Callithrix jacchus: one gene and its partners. The protein of the gene in region 1 interacts with the protein of each later gene in a pairwise test. Links are inferred from orthologs where the notes say so. Each region holds a gene or a part of one and is shown on either strand. Other genes may lie near its edges.

Evidence for each region.
Region 2: the proteins of PBX3 (region 1) and MAL2 interact in a two-hybrid assay, tested with the Homo sapiens proteins (2 studies listed by BioGRID). The two-hybrid records come from large-scale screens. The link is inferred for Callithrix jacchus from reciprocal best matches to the Homo sapiens genes PBX3 and MAL2.
Region 3: the proteins of PBX3 (region 1) and RABAC1 interact in a two-hybrid assay, tested with the Homo sapiens proteins (2 studies listed by BioGRID). The two-hybrid records come from large-scale screens. The link is inferred for Callithrix jacchus from reciprocal best matches to the Homo sapiens genes PBX3 and RABAC1.
Region 4: the proteins of PBX3 (region 1) and AGTRAP interact in a two-hybrid assay, tested with the Homo sapiens proteins (4 studies listed by BioGRID). The two-hybrid records come from large-scale screens. The link is inferred for Callithrix jacchus from reciprocal best matches to the Homo sapiens genes PBX3 and AGTRAP.

Annotation. Positions count from the first base shown.
Region 1 is NC_133502.1:174,535,663-174,539,228, reverse strand, and holds part of PBX3 (pre-B-cell leukemia transcription factor 3), read right to left. Parts: intron 1,837-3,566; coding exon 1,646-1,836; intron 1-1,645. UniProt on the Homo sapiens protein: Transcriptional activator that binds the sequence 5'-ATCAATCAA-3'.
Region 2 is NC_133517.1:78,168,604-78,171,899, forward strand, and holds part of MAL2 (protein MAL2), read right to left. Parts: intron 2,209-3,296; coding exon 2,053-2,208; intron 94-2,052; coding exon 66-93; intron 1-65. UniProt on the Homo sapiens protein: Member of the machinery of polarized transport. Required for the indirect transcytotic route at the step of the egress of the transcytosing cargo from perinuclear endosomes in order for it to travel to the apical surface via a raft-dependent pathway.
Region 3 is NC_133523.1:36,983,730-36,988,056, reverse strand, and holds RABAC1 (prenylated Rab acceptor protein 1), read left to right. Parts: upstream 1-1,499; 5' UTR 1,500-1,584; coding exon 1,585-1,640; intron 1,641-1,911; coding exon 1,912-2,124; intron 2,125-2,494; coding exon 2,495-2,592; intron 2,593-3,738; coding exon 3,739-3,840; intron 3,841-3,922; coding exon 3,923-4,011; 3' UTR 4,012-4,176; downstream 4,177-4,327. UniProt on the Homo sapiens protein: General Rab protein regulator required for vesicle formation from the Golgi complex. May control vesicle docking and fusion by mediating the action of Rab GTPases to the SNARE complexes.
Region 4 is NC_133508.1:49,632,867-49,636,432, forward strand, and holds part of AGTRAP (type-1 angiotensin II receptor-associated protein), read left to right. Parts: intron 1-748; coding exon 749-854; intron 855-2,001; coding exon 2,002-2,197; intron 2,198-3,566. UniProt on the Homo sapiens protein: Appears to be a negative regulator of type-1 angiotensin II receptor-mediated signaling by regulating receptor internalization as well as mechanism of receptor desensitization such as phosphorylation.

The DNA of each region.
Region 1 (3,566 bases):
ATTCCTCATCCTTTTATTCCATATATTTTCCAAATTTTCCATAGTGAGCTTGGTATTTTTCAAATAGAAAAAAGACTAATAAAATCTTCACAACAACGAAGAAGTAATGCAGACAGGGACAGGCCCTAAATATCAAGTTAAGGAGTATATATGTGAGTATGCATGTAAAAGCATTGGAAAGCTACTATGGTTTTTAAGCAAAGCAATCAGGCTAGCACAGTAATGTTACAGAAACAGACGAGATATGGAGGATGGGCTGGAGAGCAGTAGGACTGGAGTCAGGAAGACTAGTAGGTACTGTGCTAGTCCTTGTACAAAAGGATGGACAGGAACTGAGATGGAAAGAGAGATAAAGTGAAAAAGACCGAAAAGGAAGCAACAGTGAGTTCTAGTGACTAATTTGATATGGAAGAAGAGAGAACCAAAGATGATATCAAGTTTTGGTTAACTAGGAAAATGGTGATATAATGTTTTCTTATTTGGCTCTAAGGAAGAGCTCTGGCATGAAGACTGCTCCACACACTTTGTTTTCCAGTCAAGAAGCTATCTTAGTTATTTCCTTTAATATTGTGAAATTTGGATGATAATTATCACCTCTGTCAGATTCCATGGGAAAAGAAAGAAAAATAAAATAGAAACTCCTTTCCAAAGCTGCAGATTGATCATAAGCTTTAGCAATGCCTGAGAGGCATCCCTACAGAGGCAGCATATACTAGGACATTGACAATTCTTCTGTTCTGTCACTCAGTAGGTCACTATATACAATTTGTTACCACATACAATGCATTACCTAATTCCTATGAAACTTGGGAAAAGCTTCAGATAAAGGAAAATTTTCATCCTTACAGGAAAAATGATAGGCTTTCTTTCTTGATTTAAAAATACAGACTCTGGAGTTTTGTGGTAACTGCTATTAACTGAAACGCCACTTCCTTCTTAGGAGTACCAGTATCTCCAAGTATTTTCCCATTATATGCACAATCAGTGTAACATTAAGAAATTCTTAGAAAATACCCTTTGTGCTGGGATCACACCTGTAATCCCAGCACTTTGGGAGGCCGAAGCAGACAGATCAAGGTCAAGAGTTCAAGACCAGTCTGGCCAACATAGGGGAACTCCATCTCTACTAAAAATACAAAAATAATTAGCTGGGTGTGGTGGTGGGCACCTGTAGTCCCAGCTCCTTGAAGGCCGAGGCGGGAGAATTGCCTGAACATGGGTGGAGGAGGTTGCAGTGAGCAGAGATCACGCCACTGCACTCCAGCCTGGATGACACAGTGAGAGTCTGTCTCAAAGAAAAAAAAAATACCCTTTGTTAAAATAGTTATATGCAGAAAATTATCCTTAAAAAATACCTTTTAGCATCAGAATGGAAAGGCTACATATTCCTAAAGTCATTAGCAGAGATGCTAATCCTATTTATTTCCTGAGACACTAAATTGGCAGCTAACCCACACTACCATTCCCAGACAGGAAAAAGCTTGACAGCACAGGCACCATGAGTTGAATTACCTGTCCATTGTACAAAAGAGCTCATATGGCCAAATTAAAGAAGAATCTAAGATCTGGCCAGTTTTACAGAAAATAATATACAAGGAGTGAAAGACGGGGGAAAGCCATGCAATAGATTTGTGACTTCACATACCTGGCATCAAGGAACCTTGATCTTAAAATCATAACTGCTTCACAAGTGCTTTGTTTGAGCTGCATCTGAATGGAACTAAATTTTCGATGGATGATGCCCACCATTCTTTCAATCTCTTTGGGGGAAATGGGACGTGTTCTACTCTGTTCTCGGAGAAGGTTCATCACATGTGTAGTGAATTCATTACATGCCTGTAATGGGGGGAAAAAAATCACTCCTTTGGAAATGGATATTTTATATTATCACACCAAGACATTAACTCATCTGAATTTACACCTCATTTGCAATCATCAATAGTATTATACAGTGTATAAGGCAAAATGAAAACTAAGATACTTGTTAAATGGTAGTAGTAGTTAAAACAGCAAGAATTCTGAAACCATGCATAGTCGGATGTGCAAGGGAGACACAGCACTCAACCACTCTTCCCACCCATCCCTGTCCAGTTCCAAAATGAGATTTTCCCATTCGAGGGTGCTCAAATTCCCATATATAAGTAAAAATATATGTTAATTGTTAATAATAAGTACCACCTATTTTCTCTGGGGTTTTACATTTATTCAACAGAAGCTTACTGAACAACTACAAAGTTCAAACTCTTGCCAGTGCTGTAAGGAACACAGAAATGAATAAGATGCAGGCCTGGCCTTTGGTGAGAAAAATACATGAAAAACTAATTCAGTGCAAAGACTAATAGGAAGATATTAATAGGTTCTAAGGAAGGAATATTCTCATCTGTAGGCTTCATGGATTGAGCTTTAAAGAACAGGTAGCATCTTTGAAAGATGGATAAAGATGGAAGTCAGGAGGAATCCCAGGCACCAGAAATAACAGTATATTGCAAGTTCAGAGTCCGGCAAGTAGGAATACAGAGAATATGTAAAGAAGCAAAAGGGATTCAGGTTTGAATTAGCACATAAAGGGCCTTGCATGTCAAGCATTACAATGACCTATTATAATTCAGCTGTAGTGCAGGCCCTTAGTGGATATAAGCCATCTCTGTAAAGCAGCTCAACTCTTCAAGGGACATCCAACAGAAATAAGGATTAGATTTGGGTCTCAAACTTTTCAGTTAACAATCCTCAGACATTGTCTCTTTTAATACACATACACATACATATATTTGTTTCTCCTAAAATTCAGGGTCTCACTCTGTCACCCAGACTATAGTGCAGTGGTGTGCTCATAGTTCATTGCAGCCTCAAGATCCTGGGCTCAAGCAATCCTCCCATCTCAGCCTTCCAAGTAGCAGTTACCACAGGCATGTGCCACCATACCCAGCTAATTTTTAAATCTGTTTTAGAGTTGAGGTCTTGCTATGTTGCTCAGACTAGTCTCAAACTCTTGGCCTAAAGCAATCCTCCCACCTCAGCCTCCTGAGCTGCTAGGATTACAAGTGCGTGCCACTGCATCCAACTTCATCTATATTCTCTTTGATTTATAAATCTGTGTAACTGGATGTACACTGAAATCCAGTACTGCCCTGGTAAATAAAGCATCAGTTTATACTCTTAAAGAAAAATAATCTCTTCTGACATTTTCCTTAAAAATGCAGGATGGGAAATTTTGCATCTTACTGCACGGGTGCCCCTCGAAGAGTGAGCAGACAGAACAATTCATTTATCAATGCAAGACACATTTTGAAGTTATAATAATGTCCACTTCCCTACAGATATCCTGAACATTGCTCACATATAGCACATGATGGTTTTTCTAACTGCTCATTAGAGGACTAACCTTTCCTGTACATTGAGTATTTTACTTACTCTAAGCTTTTACAGAGCTTTCCATAAATATTTCTAACGTTAGGTAAAATGAGTCTTGCTTATCAAGTTTTTTCAAAAAATATGTTTTAAGCCATAGGAAATATTAAATTCCTTGTGAGTGGTGACACTATATTATACTTATGGGATTCTTCAGA
Region 2 (3,296 bases), on another chromosome or scaffold:
AACACCAACTGTGTGTATATTACTACATTTGGTACATATAAGCAAAGAGTAGATAATGTCCTCACCCTTTTGGGGTTTATGATCCATAGAAGACTAAAAGACAAAGCAAAAGCAGTTCAACATGATAAATATTATGGTTTAGCACAAGGGTTCTTAACGAGGAAACTATAGCTCTGGGAAGCAATACTGGATTCACCTATAGATCATTTTCACAGTTTAATTGCTTTTCTGCTATTCTTTCCACCCTTCTTCTGCTGATTGATTCTCTGACAATTTCTAATCTAGACATTGTTTTCTAAATGACAGCAATAGCTTTTGATACATGTATTAGGGAAAAGGAATTTGCCTCCCAATCTGATGTCCCATGGATGGGACATTTCAAAGCTAAAACCATGACTCTTTGTTGTAATCCCACCTTCAGCCTAATTCATTGTAGGCACTCAATAAATTTTGACAAATCCTATCAGAGACTTGGGAAACTTATAATGGGTCTTGAAATCATTTGTCTTCTACACCTCAAAATTCAGACTCTAGAATGGTATTTATTGTCTGATAGCCACTAGCCACATGTGGTTAAAATAATACTAAAACTTCAGTTCCTTCATCATGCTGGTGTGCAGAGGTGTGCTCCCGGCTCACTACAACCTCCGCCTCCTGCGCTAAAGAGATTTTCTTACCTCAGCCTCCCAAACAGGTAGCACTGCAGGCACAAGCCACCAGGCCTGGCCAATTCTTGATTCTTTTTTTTCCCCACTTTGAGAGACAGGGTCTTGCTATGTTGACCAGGCTGCTCCAGAAATCCTGGCCTCAAGCAGTCCCCTTCCACCTCGGTCTACCAAAGTGCTGGGATCACAGGCATGAGCCATGACTCTTTGGCTTACTTTTCAATTGCTCAACAGCCACATGAGCCTAGTGGCCAACATATTGGACAGCACTTACAAAAAAAGAAAGTTCTACTAGACAGTGCTGCTCCAGACAGATTTCAATGCCTATATGGGGAGTACTGGGTTATTTACAGGCTACCTGGGAAACATAATAAAACATTAGGGTCACTAATTTGCCATATATTTATATTAAATATCACACTATTTCAGAAAATTTGGACTTCTAGCATCTTAAAAGTGATCTTTAACAACAAAAATAATACATTAGTTCTTCAAATTATTATCTATACAATACAAAATGACAAATTCACTCCAGTATGTGAATTAAAGATGATTTAAAAATTTATAAATGCCCCAAGGAATGCATTTCATCTGCCTACCATCTACTGCAATGGCTGGCATAGTTGCCTCCCTTCCTCACCTGCACTTCCCTGAATGGCAACAACTGCAGCTTATCCACCCCATCCTCAACAGCCAGCAAAATTACTTGATATATGGTAGGCCCACAGTATCTATTCATTGAATAAAATTAACGTGCAAACAGCTATTGAATACTAAAGAACCAAACTGGGAAATATCCCTTACCATGTCTGAAAGTTATAAGAAGCAAAAACACAGTTCTTTTTGCAGACCCCTCAAAACTCAGACTCCAGACCTTTATTGTCTAATATGATAGCCACTAGTCACATGTGGTTAAAATTATTAAAATAATATTAAAAATACAGTTCCTTAGTCATACTGGTTACTCCCCATTCCCCCCCATCCCTCGACCGAGTCTTGGTCTGTCACTCAGACTGGAGTGCAGTGGTGTGGTCTCAGCTCACTGCAACCTCCGCCTCCTTGGGCTCAGGAGATTTTCTCACCTTAGCCTCCCAAACAGGTGGCACTACAGGCACAACACACCAGGCCTAGCCAATTCTTAATGAGAGACGGTGGCTTGCTGTGGTCTTATGTGAACATCAACCTCTTTATGCTTCAGTTTAATCACCTGCAACCCTGTGAGCAAAGTGATCATGGCACTTTGCTCACAGGGTTACTGTACAGATAACAGCTATGATATATTTAACATTAACGGCTAGTATTAAAGAGTACTGTTGCCTGAAGAGTTTCTTGGAGGCCTTGACAGTGGAGCGGAAGTGCTGGTGAACAGTACTCATTGAGTACTTACTGTGGCTGCTACATTTATGTTATACTGGTTATCACTCAGGAGCGGCTGCAGGGTCATGGTTGTATTGCAATGCAAATCGTGCAGGGATGTGGCTGCTGCTTCCAATAAAAAGGCTCCAAAATAGAAGACAAACACTGTGAAATGGTAGGCAAAATCCTAAAAGAGGAGAGAAAAGACATCTGCAATTAATAAGACATTTTCCATTCTGTATTTCAAATGAAGGCTAGGTTTAGCAAGATCAAAACATTTAATTAAACCATCTTAATTACCTTCTCTGTGTATCTTGGCCTGACGTTTCTATAGCAACTATTAGAATCCAAGTGAAAATCAACCCATTTTAACTGGCACATTGGTAAATTGGCAAACCTTTCCATAGACTGAATTTTATAATTATATAATATTTTAATTTGGATTAAGATGCCCATAGAGATCAATGTTAATTAGGATAATATAAAAAAGCCATACATATGCTGTCTTTAAAATTCAAGTAAAGTAGCATTTAAATAACATTATTATATGTATTCATATAAATTATATAAACTATTTTTGACCAGTTATTATCATTAGAGATTTTCCATTGAAAATACAGAAGACTAATTAAATATATAATTCAATAACATATATCCATGTTTGTTTCATTAAAAACTAACATGTTATATACTTCCACAAGAAGTATAAGACCTCATTTGTTAGGCTTCTTTGTTGCTGACATTCAGCGAAGCATTAACACTGTTATAGTTCATGTGGTCTTACCTGAATTAATGTATCAACACATTACTGTTTGTAACAGTTCCCACATATCAGATACCTTATGTGCATTATTGCTCAACCTTATAACCACCATTAATTATCTCCATTAAATAAATAATTTCTTTTCAGTTAAATGACTGTTTAAAGCCATGTAAATATTAATTTTAGGAGGGAGAAAAACCTGTAGTGTGTCTGGTCCCAAAGTTCAGTTTATTTTTTTTAAATTATTTTACTTGACAAAAATCATATTTATTGTATACATGTTTTGAAATATTTATACATTGTGGGATGGCTAAATAAAGCATATACATATATCTTCCCATAATTCTTTTTTTTGTGGTGAGAACATTTAAAATATATTCTTTTAGCATTTTTCAAGAATATAATACACTGTTACTAACTATAGTCATCATGCTACACAATAGATCTCTTGAACTTATTTCTCCTAACTGAAATTTGTATCCTTTGACCAACATTTTCCACAGTCCCCCATC
Region 3 (4,327 bases), on another chromosome or scaffold:
TAAATAATTTTTTTATAAAGACAGGGTTTCACCATGTTGGTCAGACTGGTCTTGAACTCCCGACCTCAGGTGATCCACCTGTCTTGGCTTCCAAAGTGCTTGGATTACAGGCGTGAGCCACCACGGCCGGCCAATAAATAATTTTTTTTTAAAAAGTTCACCTGGATAGCCCATGTAGATATTCTCCTTCCAGCCCCACCCAGCTGCTTTGGAAAATTAGAATCTCAGTCTGCTTAAGGGAGCCCAGGCTTCCCCATACTTGAACACACATTTCTTGAGGCCCTATTCTGGTGCACCTCCATTAGAATTCCAGCCCCGTTTTCCTACAATTCCACTCACGGCAGGGGCAGGCCACAGAGGAATCTGTTTAAAGACTGAGAAAGAACCATGGCTAGGAGAACCAGGGAAAAGAAAGGCCCATGCCTCAGACACTAGCCATCTTTGGGGACATCCAAAAGGCCAGCAGCCCCTAACATGTTCCTATTAAATTTCAGGAGGCTGAACTCTAGAAATTATAATCATAACATCTGGGATAATATAGTGGCAATAACAATGACTATCATTTATTGAGCAATTATAAAGTCTCTTTAAAAATTAGAGTCTTTCAAGCACTTCACATGGATTTAACTGAATCATCATAACCCTGTGAGCTGGTACCATTAGGATCCCCGCTGTTCAGATGAAGATACTGAAGTTCAAGGAGGTGACTAGATCACAGCCACACAGCCTGGATTTTCTCCTGAGTCTGAATCCAGAATCACAGCTCTTTTAGGTATAACACCTCCCACTTTTAAAACTTCTCAATACTTTCTCTTTCCCAACTTCACTTCCTCCTGTCCAAAGGTGTATGGTGGGGGGGGGGACGACGGGGGGTGTCCCTAGCCCCAACTCATTCATCTTTGGGACTCCACGAGGTGGGGTAGGGGCCAACCTCAGATACCCTTCCAGCAACCATGGCCCCCTCACTAGCCTCAATCTCTTGAGGAAAAAATCAATTCCCACAAATTATCTAAATCTTTCTACTCAATATGTGGTCCATGGACAAGCCGCATCAGCATCACCTGGGAACTCAGAAATGCAAATTATGGGTTCCACCCCAGACTTGCTGAATGAGAACATCTGGGCTGGGGCTCAGGATTCTGTGTTTTAGCAAGCCCTCCAGGTGTTTTTTTATGCCCTCTAGAGTCAGAACGACAGCTCGGCACGGTCTCCACTGTGCCCTCCCCGGGAGAGTACACACGCCCGCTTCTGCCATTAGAGCTCCCTTAACGCCCTCGCTCCTGACAGCGCACCTGTGCCCTCCCAAAACTACAACTCCCACAATGCCCAGAGGCGCGCGTCGTCACTTTCTGGGATTGTATCTTCCAAAGTGTCCTGCGAGTCAGGCCGCCATCATAGCGCCCACCCTCCCAGCCACCGTTAAGACTACAACTCCCACAGTGCCTGGCGACAGAACTACCGTCCCCAGCTGCTCCGGAGCGGCGCCACGTCGGCTCCGCAGGGTGGGGCCGGACTCAGGCGGTGCCGGCAGGGTCTGCAGGGTACCGGGCTAGTTACCGCAGCTCTACCCCTCACGACGCAGACATGGCAGCCCCGAAGGACCAGCAGAAGGATGCCGAGGCAGAAGGGCTGAGCGCCACGTGAGCAAGCCGGCTCTAGCCCTTTGGACCCGACACCCGGAGTCCCGGCCCCCTACCCTCTCCTCCCTTGAGTGCCCGGAGTCCCAGCCCCGAGACGCCAAAGTCTTGGTCCCCGATCTCCTCTTCTGGGACCCTGGAGTCTGAGCCCTTAGCCCCCTTTCCCTCTATGGGCCAGGAGTCTGGGGTTCCGGGAGGGAGTCCAGGCTTAGCCCCTTATGGGGATCTGGGCCTCCATTCCGGTCCACCACTGACCCGGCCCCGCCCCGCGCAGGACCCTGCTGCCGAAGCTGATCCCCTCTGGTGCAGGACGGGAGTGGCTGGAGCGGCGCCGGGCGACCATCCGGCCCTGGGGGACCTTCGTGGACCAGCAGCGCTTCTCACGGCCCCGCAACCTGGGCGAGCTGTGCCAGCGCCTCGTACGCAACGTGGAGCACTACCAGAGCAACTATGTGTTCGTGTTCTTGGGCCTTATCCTGTACTGCGTGTGAGTGCCTTCCGGGCCCCACATCTGCACTCTCCCTCCCCGGCTAGACCCCTCCTCTCCTGGTTCAGGCCCCGCTGCCACCTCCGGTTCTTCCTCTCACCGGCCAGGCCCCGCCCCCACCGGCCAGGCCCCTCCTCTCACCGGCCAGGCCCCGCCCCCAAGGGTTGGCTCTGCTAGACCTACCTTGTCACCAAAGGGCCAGGTCACTACTCCACCATCACCCTGGCCAGGATGCGGGGTGACTAAATGTCACCTGGCTCTCCCTGGTCTCCAGGATGTAGCTTGCCGCACACTGGTGGAGAAGGCCAGGGCTCCCTGGCTGGCCTAGCCCCAGCTGCCTGACTGCTGCCTCCCTGCACTCCTCCTCCAGGGTGACATCCCCTATGTTGCTGGTGGCTCTGGCTGTCTTTTTCGGCGCCTGTTACATTCTCTATCTGCGCACCTTGCAGTCCAAGCTTGTGCTCTTTGGTGAGAAATCCCCTGCCCATATGAATCCTTGGTCCCTCACATCCTGGTCTCTTGGAATTACAGACCTCAGAGCCCAAACCCAAGTCCTTCAAAACCCAAGTCCGCCCAAGCCTAGATGTAGACTAGGTCCCCCAAACCTGATCCCTTAACATCTCAAAACAGATGCTCCCACCGAATCTCGGCCCCCTAAATTGCAATTCCTCAAACCCAGATTCCACCTGTCAGCTGTGCCTTCAACCTACTTCTCTCCAAATCACGTGACTCCTTCCCTCTCCCTCCTCCCCTCGCTGCTCTTTGCGGCAAGCATCAGCTGCAGGTGCCCACACTGGACACCAGGTGGCAACCTTACACGGTCTAGATTTGTTCCCGTCCCTTTTCTGGCTTTCTGGGATGTGACCAGAAAGACCTTGGGACTTAGAGAGGAAAACTGAGGAGTATGTTTCATGTGGTTCCCAGACTAGTACCAAGGACCACTGGGAAAACAAAATGCCAGGAAAAATCCCCCCAGGGGAAAATCAAGGTTTGGAGTAAGGTTGGACAGTTGGGATGGGATGGTCAGGTAGACCTGCGGCAAGTTATGTGCATGACAGGCTGGGGCGGAGGAGGGTCGGGTAGAGGGAGCACCTGAAGCACAGCCACAACTTGGCTTCAGCTCATCGCCGTCACCAGCATGCAGACCCCATTTCCCAGACTTCTGTGAGAAGCCTGAAGTTGGTATTTTTATGTGAAATCATTCACTTTGCCAGCCACAAATCACATTCTTGCAAAACATCTCAAAAAACACATCCACCAGTCAGATTTGGCCCCCGGACCACCAGTTTGAGACCCCTGGTCTGCGTGAGGGTTGCAGCAGGAGAGCAGAGTAGTCTGGGGAGCAGGAAGCTGGGATCCCAGGAGCTTTCTAGAGGATGTGGACCAGAGGGCAGAGGGTGGGGCTGAGGCAGGTGAGGATGGTGTGCTGTGTTCTGGAGGGGAGTTGGGACAGCAGGGGAACAGGGTGACCCCAGGACTGGAGGGCCTTGGCAGAGGAGTTTGGATTCAATCCCAAGGTCCTGGAGCTTGTATAGATTGTTGGGGGACAGCAGGGGTTACTCTGGGAGAGGGCACGGAGGGTGGGAACAGCGCCCCAATGCCGTCTGCCCCCAGGCCGAGAGGTGAGCCCAGCCCATCAGTACGCTCTGGCTGGAGGCATATCCTTCCCCTTCTTCTGGCTGGCTGGTGCTGGCTCGGCCGTCTTCTGGGTGCTGGGTGAGTACAGGGTCTGAGCGGCTGGGGTGGATGGTGGGGCCAGGCACAGGAGTGTGGCCCTGAGCTGCCGGCTTTCCTGCAGGAGCCACCCTGGTAGTCATCGGCTCCCATGCTGCCTTCCACCAGATTGAGGCTATGGACGGGGAGGAGCTGCAGATGGAACCCGTGTGAGGTGCTGCTGGGACCTGCTGGCCTCCCCAGCCAGCCACCCCACCCCTACCCATCCCTGTCCTGCACAGGTCTGCTGCTGCTTGGGCCTACAGTGCTGCCCCATCACAAGTCCGGGGAGGGAATCTGCCTTTGAAAATAAAGCTGTTACAGGTGTCATTCAGCAAATACTCCCCCAGCATCTTCTGTGGGTCTCTGTGGATGATGCTGGAAATAGTGTAGAGACCAGGGTTGGCGTGGAGCCTGGGGTGTGGCAAGACGATCAACAAGGTAAACAGGTAAAATATTATGGGATGTCCAATGGTGGTGAGTGATGAGG
Region 4 (3,566 bases), on another chromosome or scaffold:
CAACGTTGTAGTGAGCCAAGATTTTGCCACTGCACTCCAGCCTGGCTGACAGAGCGAAACTCCGTCAAAAATAAATAAATAATAGTTAGAACCATGCCAGGTACTAGCAAGTGCTCTGTGTTCACTATGATTTTGATTGGATTGACAAGTGAACAAATCAACAATGTCAGTTAGGCAATACCCTAAATGGTAGAATAGGGTGGGCCTTGTGTTAGGAAAGTGACGAGGTCGTACTTAGCATTGGTGGGTGAGGGAAGGAGTCTCAGAGTGAACATTCAAGCTGCTGCTCAATGACAAAAGGGGGGCCAAGTGTCAGAGTAGAGGGCGCCCACTGTACGGGGCTGTGGCTGGGAGGTCAGGGAGGGCGGGGCTGGGCCCGGGGTCCCACGGGCCCCTTAAGCCCTGGTGAAGAGTCTGCATTTTATTCCAAATGGGATGGAAAACTGTTGGAGGATTTTTAGCAGAGGATTGACAGCATCTGACTACACTACCAGTTGCTATTTAGAGAACAGAGTGGCAGTCAGGAGGCTGTCATCTGGCAGGAGACGGAGGTGCTTGGGACCTGCAGGGACACAGCCAGATCCAGGGTCTGGGTGGGAGGCGAGCCCATGGGATTTGCTGGCACATAGCCAGGTGGCCTCAAAGACTAAGGTCTGTTCTGGGAGGAGGCCCTGAGACCCCTGGCACAGGAGGGAGGTGACCTGCGGGTTGGTGGCCACCTGATGGGACTAAGCTGCTTCTTTGACAGGGGCTGCATCGTGTTCTCGGGCTCCTATGCCTGGGCCAACTTCACCATCCTGGCCTTGGGCGTGTGGGCTGTGGCTCAGCGGGACTCCATCGACGCCATAAGCATGGTGAGCCAGGGCGGGGGCCGAAGCACAGGGCGACACACGGCCTGGCTCTGCCTCCCTGTCCCATCCCAATCTTCCTTCTCTTCCTGGGGCCACCACTGCCTGTTGTCTAAAGCCTTTTTCTTCAGCCTCCCGGGTGTCAGCCCATGCCTGTCTTTGGGAGCGAGCATGCTACTCTTCTTGCCTGGCTTAGAGAAGCCCAGGTCTGCCATTATCTCCCCCAGGAAAGCCAAGGGGTGCCCCAGATTGGCTTCTCTGCAAGAGCAATGGAGCATTCCCTATAACCTGCCTCTGGGGCTCTCTTTTAGGGGAGAGGACATGGAGACCCAGCCAAGGGGGCACGCCACTACTTTAGGAAGGAGAGGTGACCCAGGCCGACCGAAACTTCCCACAGGGGAAGCTTCTTAGCACCCACCAAGCCCCGTGGGGCAGCGTGCACCCCCTGCACCGGCTCTTCAAGCCTTGGCCAGGGCTCGGGGTGACTGAGGAGTGAGAAGGGATTTCCTTTTTCTTTTTTTTTTTGTTCTGAGACAGTCTTGCTCTGTCGCCCAGGCTAGATTGCAGTGGTGCGATCTCAGCTCACTACAACCTTTGCCTTCCAGGTTCAGTGATTCTCCTGCCTCAGCCTCCCAAGCAGCTGGGACTACAGGCATGTGCCATCATGTGCGGCTAATTTTTTGGATTTTTAGTAGAGATAGGGTTTCACCTTATTGGCCAGGCTGGTCTCGAACTCCTGACCTCATGATCTACCTGCCTTAGCCTCCCAAAGTGCTGGGATTACAGGCATGAGCCACCGTGCCTGGCCCTGAGAAGGGATTTTCTTCGTGTTGGAGACAGACTGGGTGAACAAGGAACCTTCCTTTATGGAGGTTCTAGAGCCCAGTCTTGTGCCCATCATGGTCTTAGAGGTGATCGAAAATGGGTAGGGAGGGAGGCTCTGTGGAACCGAGACCTGAGCCCCCTGCGTCCCTGCCCCTAGACTGCAGTCTCAGCCAGCCGCTCCCCTGTGAGTCCTGCCTGCTTGCTTGCTCAGTTTTCCAGCAAGCCCCAAGGACACAGTAGGGCATGAAACAGCTTCGCATCTGGTACATGGTGGGGAGCCACGGGACACGGCAGGGCTCTTGTGCTCATCAGTGCCTGTGTCTTGCAGTTTCTGTGTGGCTTGCTGGCCACCATCTTCCTGGACATCGTACACATCAGCATCTTCTATCCGCGGGGAAACCTCACGGACACGGGCCGCTTCGGCGCGGGCATGGCCATCCTCAGCTTGCTGCTCAAGCCGCTCTCCTGCTGCTTCATCTACCACATGTACCGGGAGCGCGGGGGTGAGCTCCTGGTCCACACTGGTGAGGCCACCACCTCTGGCCAGCTCCCCACCACTCCCTTCTCTCCCTTGCCTGGCCCCCAGGCTCTCCCCCAGTGAGCTGGCCTTACCCCATGGGGCCAGCAGGAAGAGCATGGCATGGGCACTCTGTACCAGGCTGGAGGAGTCCAAGCTCCTGGTCTCTGCTGCAGGAGCCCAGGGGTCCCCTGACTGTCCTGGTCCGCTGCGACCTTCTCCTGCTGTGAGGCTAAGGCTAGGCCCTTCTCTCAGCCTAGAGCACAGGCACAGCTGGGGGTACCATTTAGTTCCCAGGGGCAGCCCTGGGCTATCTCCAGCATGAGGGCCACCGGCACCTACAGGTCTCCTCTCTGTTCTCACCGGGCCCCAACACTGGAACCCCATTTCCTGCCACGTGGGGTCTTTCCTCTCCTGCGGCAGAGATTGTGCTAGGTAGCCAAAGGAGAGCCTGCTCTAGCGTAGGCTGTGTGAGCCTCAGCGAAGACGGCCCTGAACTGTGGGCACTCCCCGTACCCACCAATCCCTCCCCACTCGCCCATCCTCACCCTCACCCCGCCCTCTCCCATGCCCTTTCCTGTACCCCTTCTGCTGGTGGCCGAGCTGTTTGCCTGCTCTCTGACACCTCTGTCTCTCCTTTCTCTTTGAGAGGAGTGGAGGGAGGTTGTGGGGTGTGGCCTTCTACCTTTCACTCCTGAGAAGAGAGGCCTCAGGTGGCCTGTGACTGCCACCAGCTGGTCGAGGGTAAGAATGGCCTGGGGCTGCCCCCAGGGAAGGGGTGCCAGAATGTATCTCCCATTGGACAGATGAGGAAACTGAGGCCCACAGCCCTTGGGACGTGCTCAAGGTCTCAGGATGAATGTGCAGAGGAGGGGATGAGAGTGAGGAGTGTGGGGTGTTTGGAGCTACAGTCCTGCCTTGGACTCAGCCCCAGCCTCCAAGGCCATCTGGATACAGTAATGTGGTGTCCTTCTGCCTGAGAGGGGAGCTGGAGAGGAGTGTGTGGGCCCGGGGCTGGTGTCCCTCTGCCCAGGTTCCTGAGCACTTGCTGCCTGAGGAACCACCCCATGGCACAGTGGCCTGGAGCCTGGCTTTGGGCTTGGCTGCCTAGGCGTGGGTCGCAGCATCATCGCTTCGAGCTGTGTGATCTCAGCAAGTCAGTTCATCTCTTTGACCCACTGTTTCCTCATCTGTAAAGTGGGGATGATACCTGCTGCAAGGAGTACGGGAGGATTGAATGAATGATACACGCTAAAAGCTTAGTGCCTGGGGCTGCTGCCTCTGTCTCTGTGGTGGTGTCAGGATGCCTGGCCCCAGGGTGGCAGGGGTAGATCTTGCCTTGGACTCAGCAGAATGTCTTGAGGTCTCCCCATTCA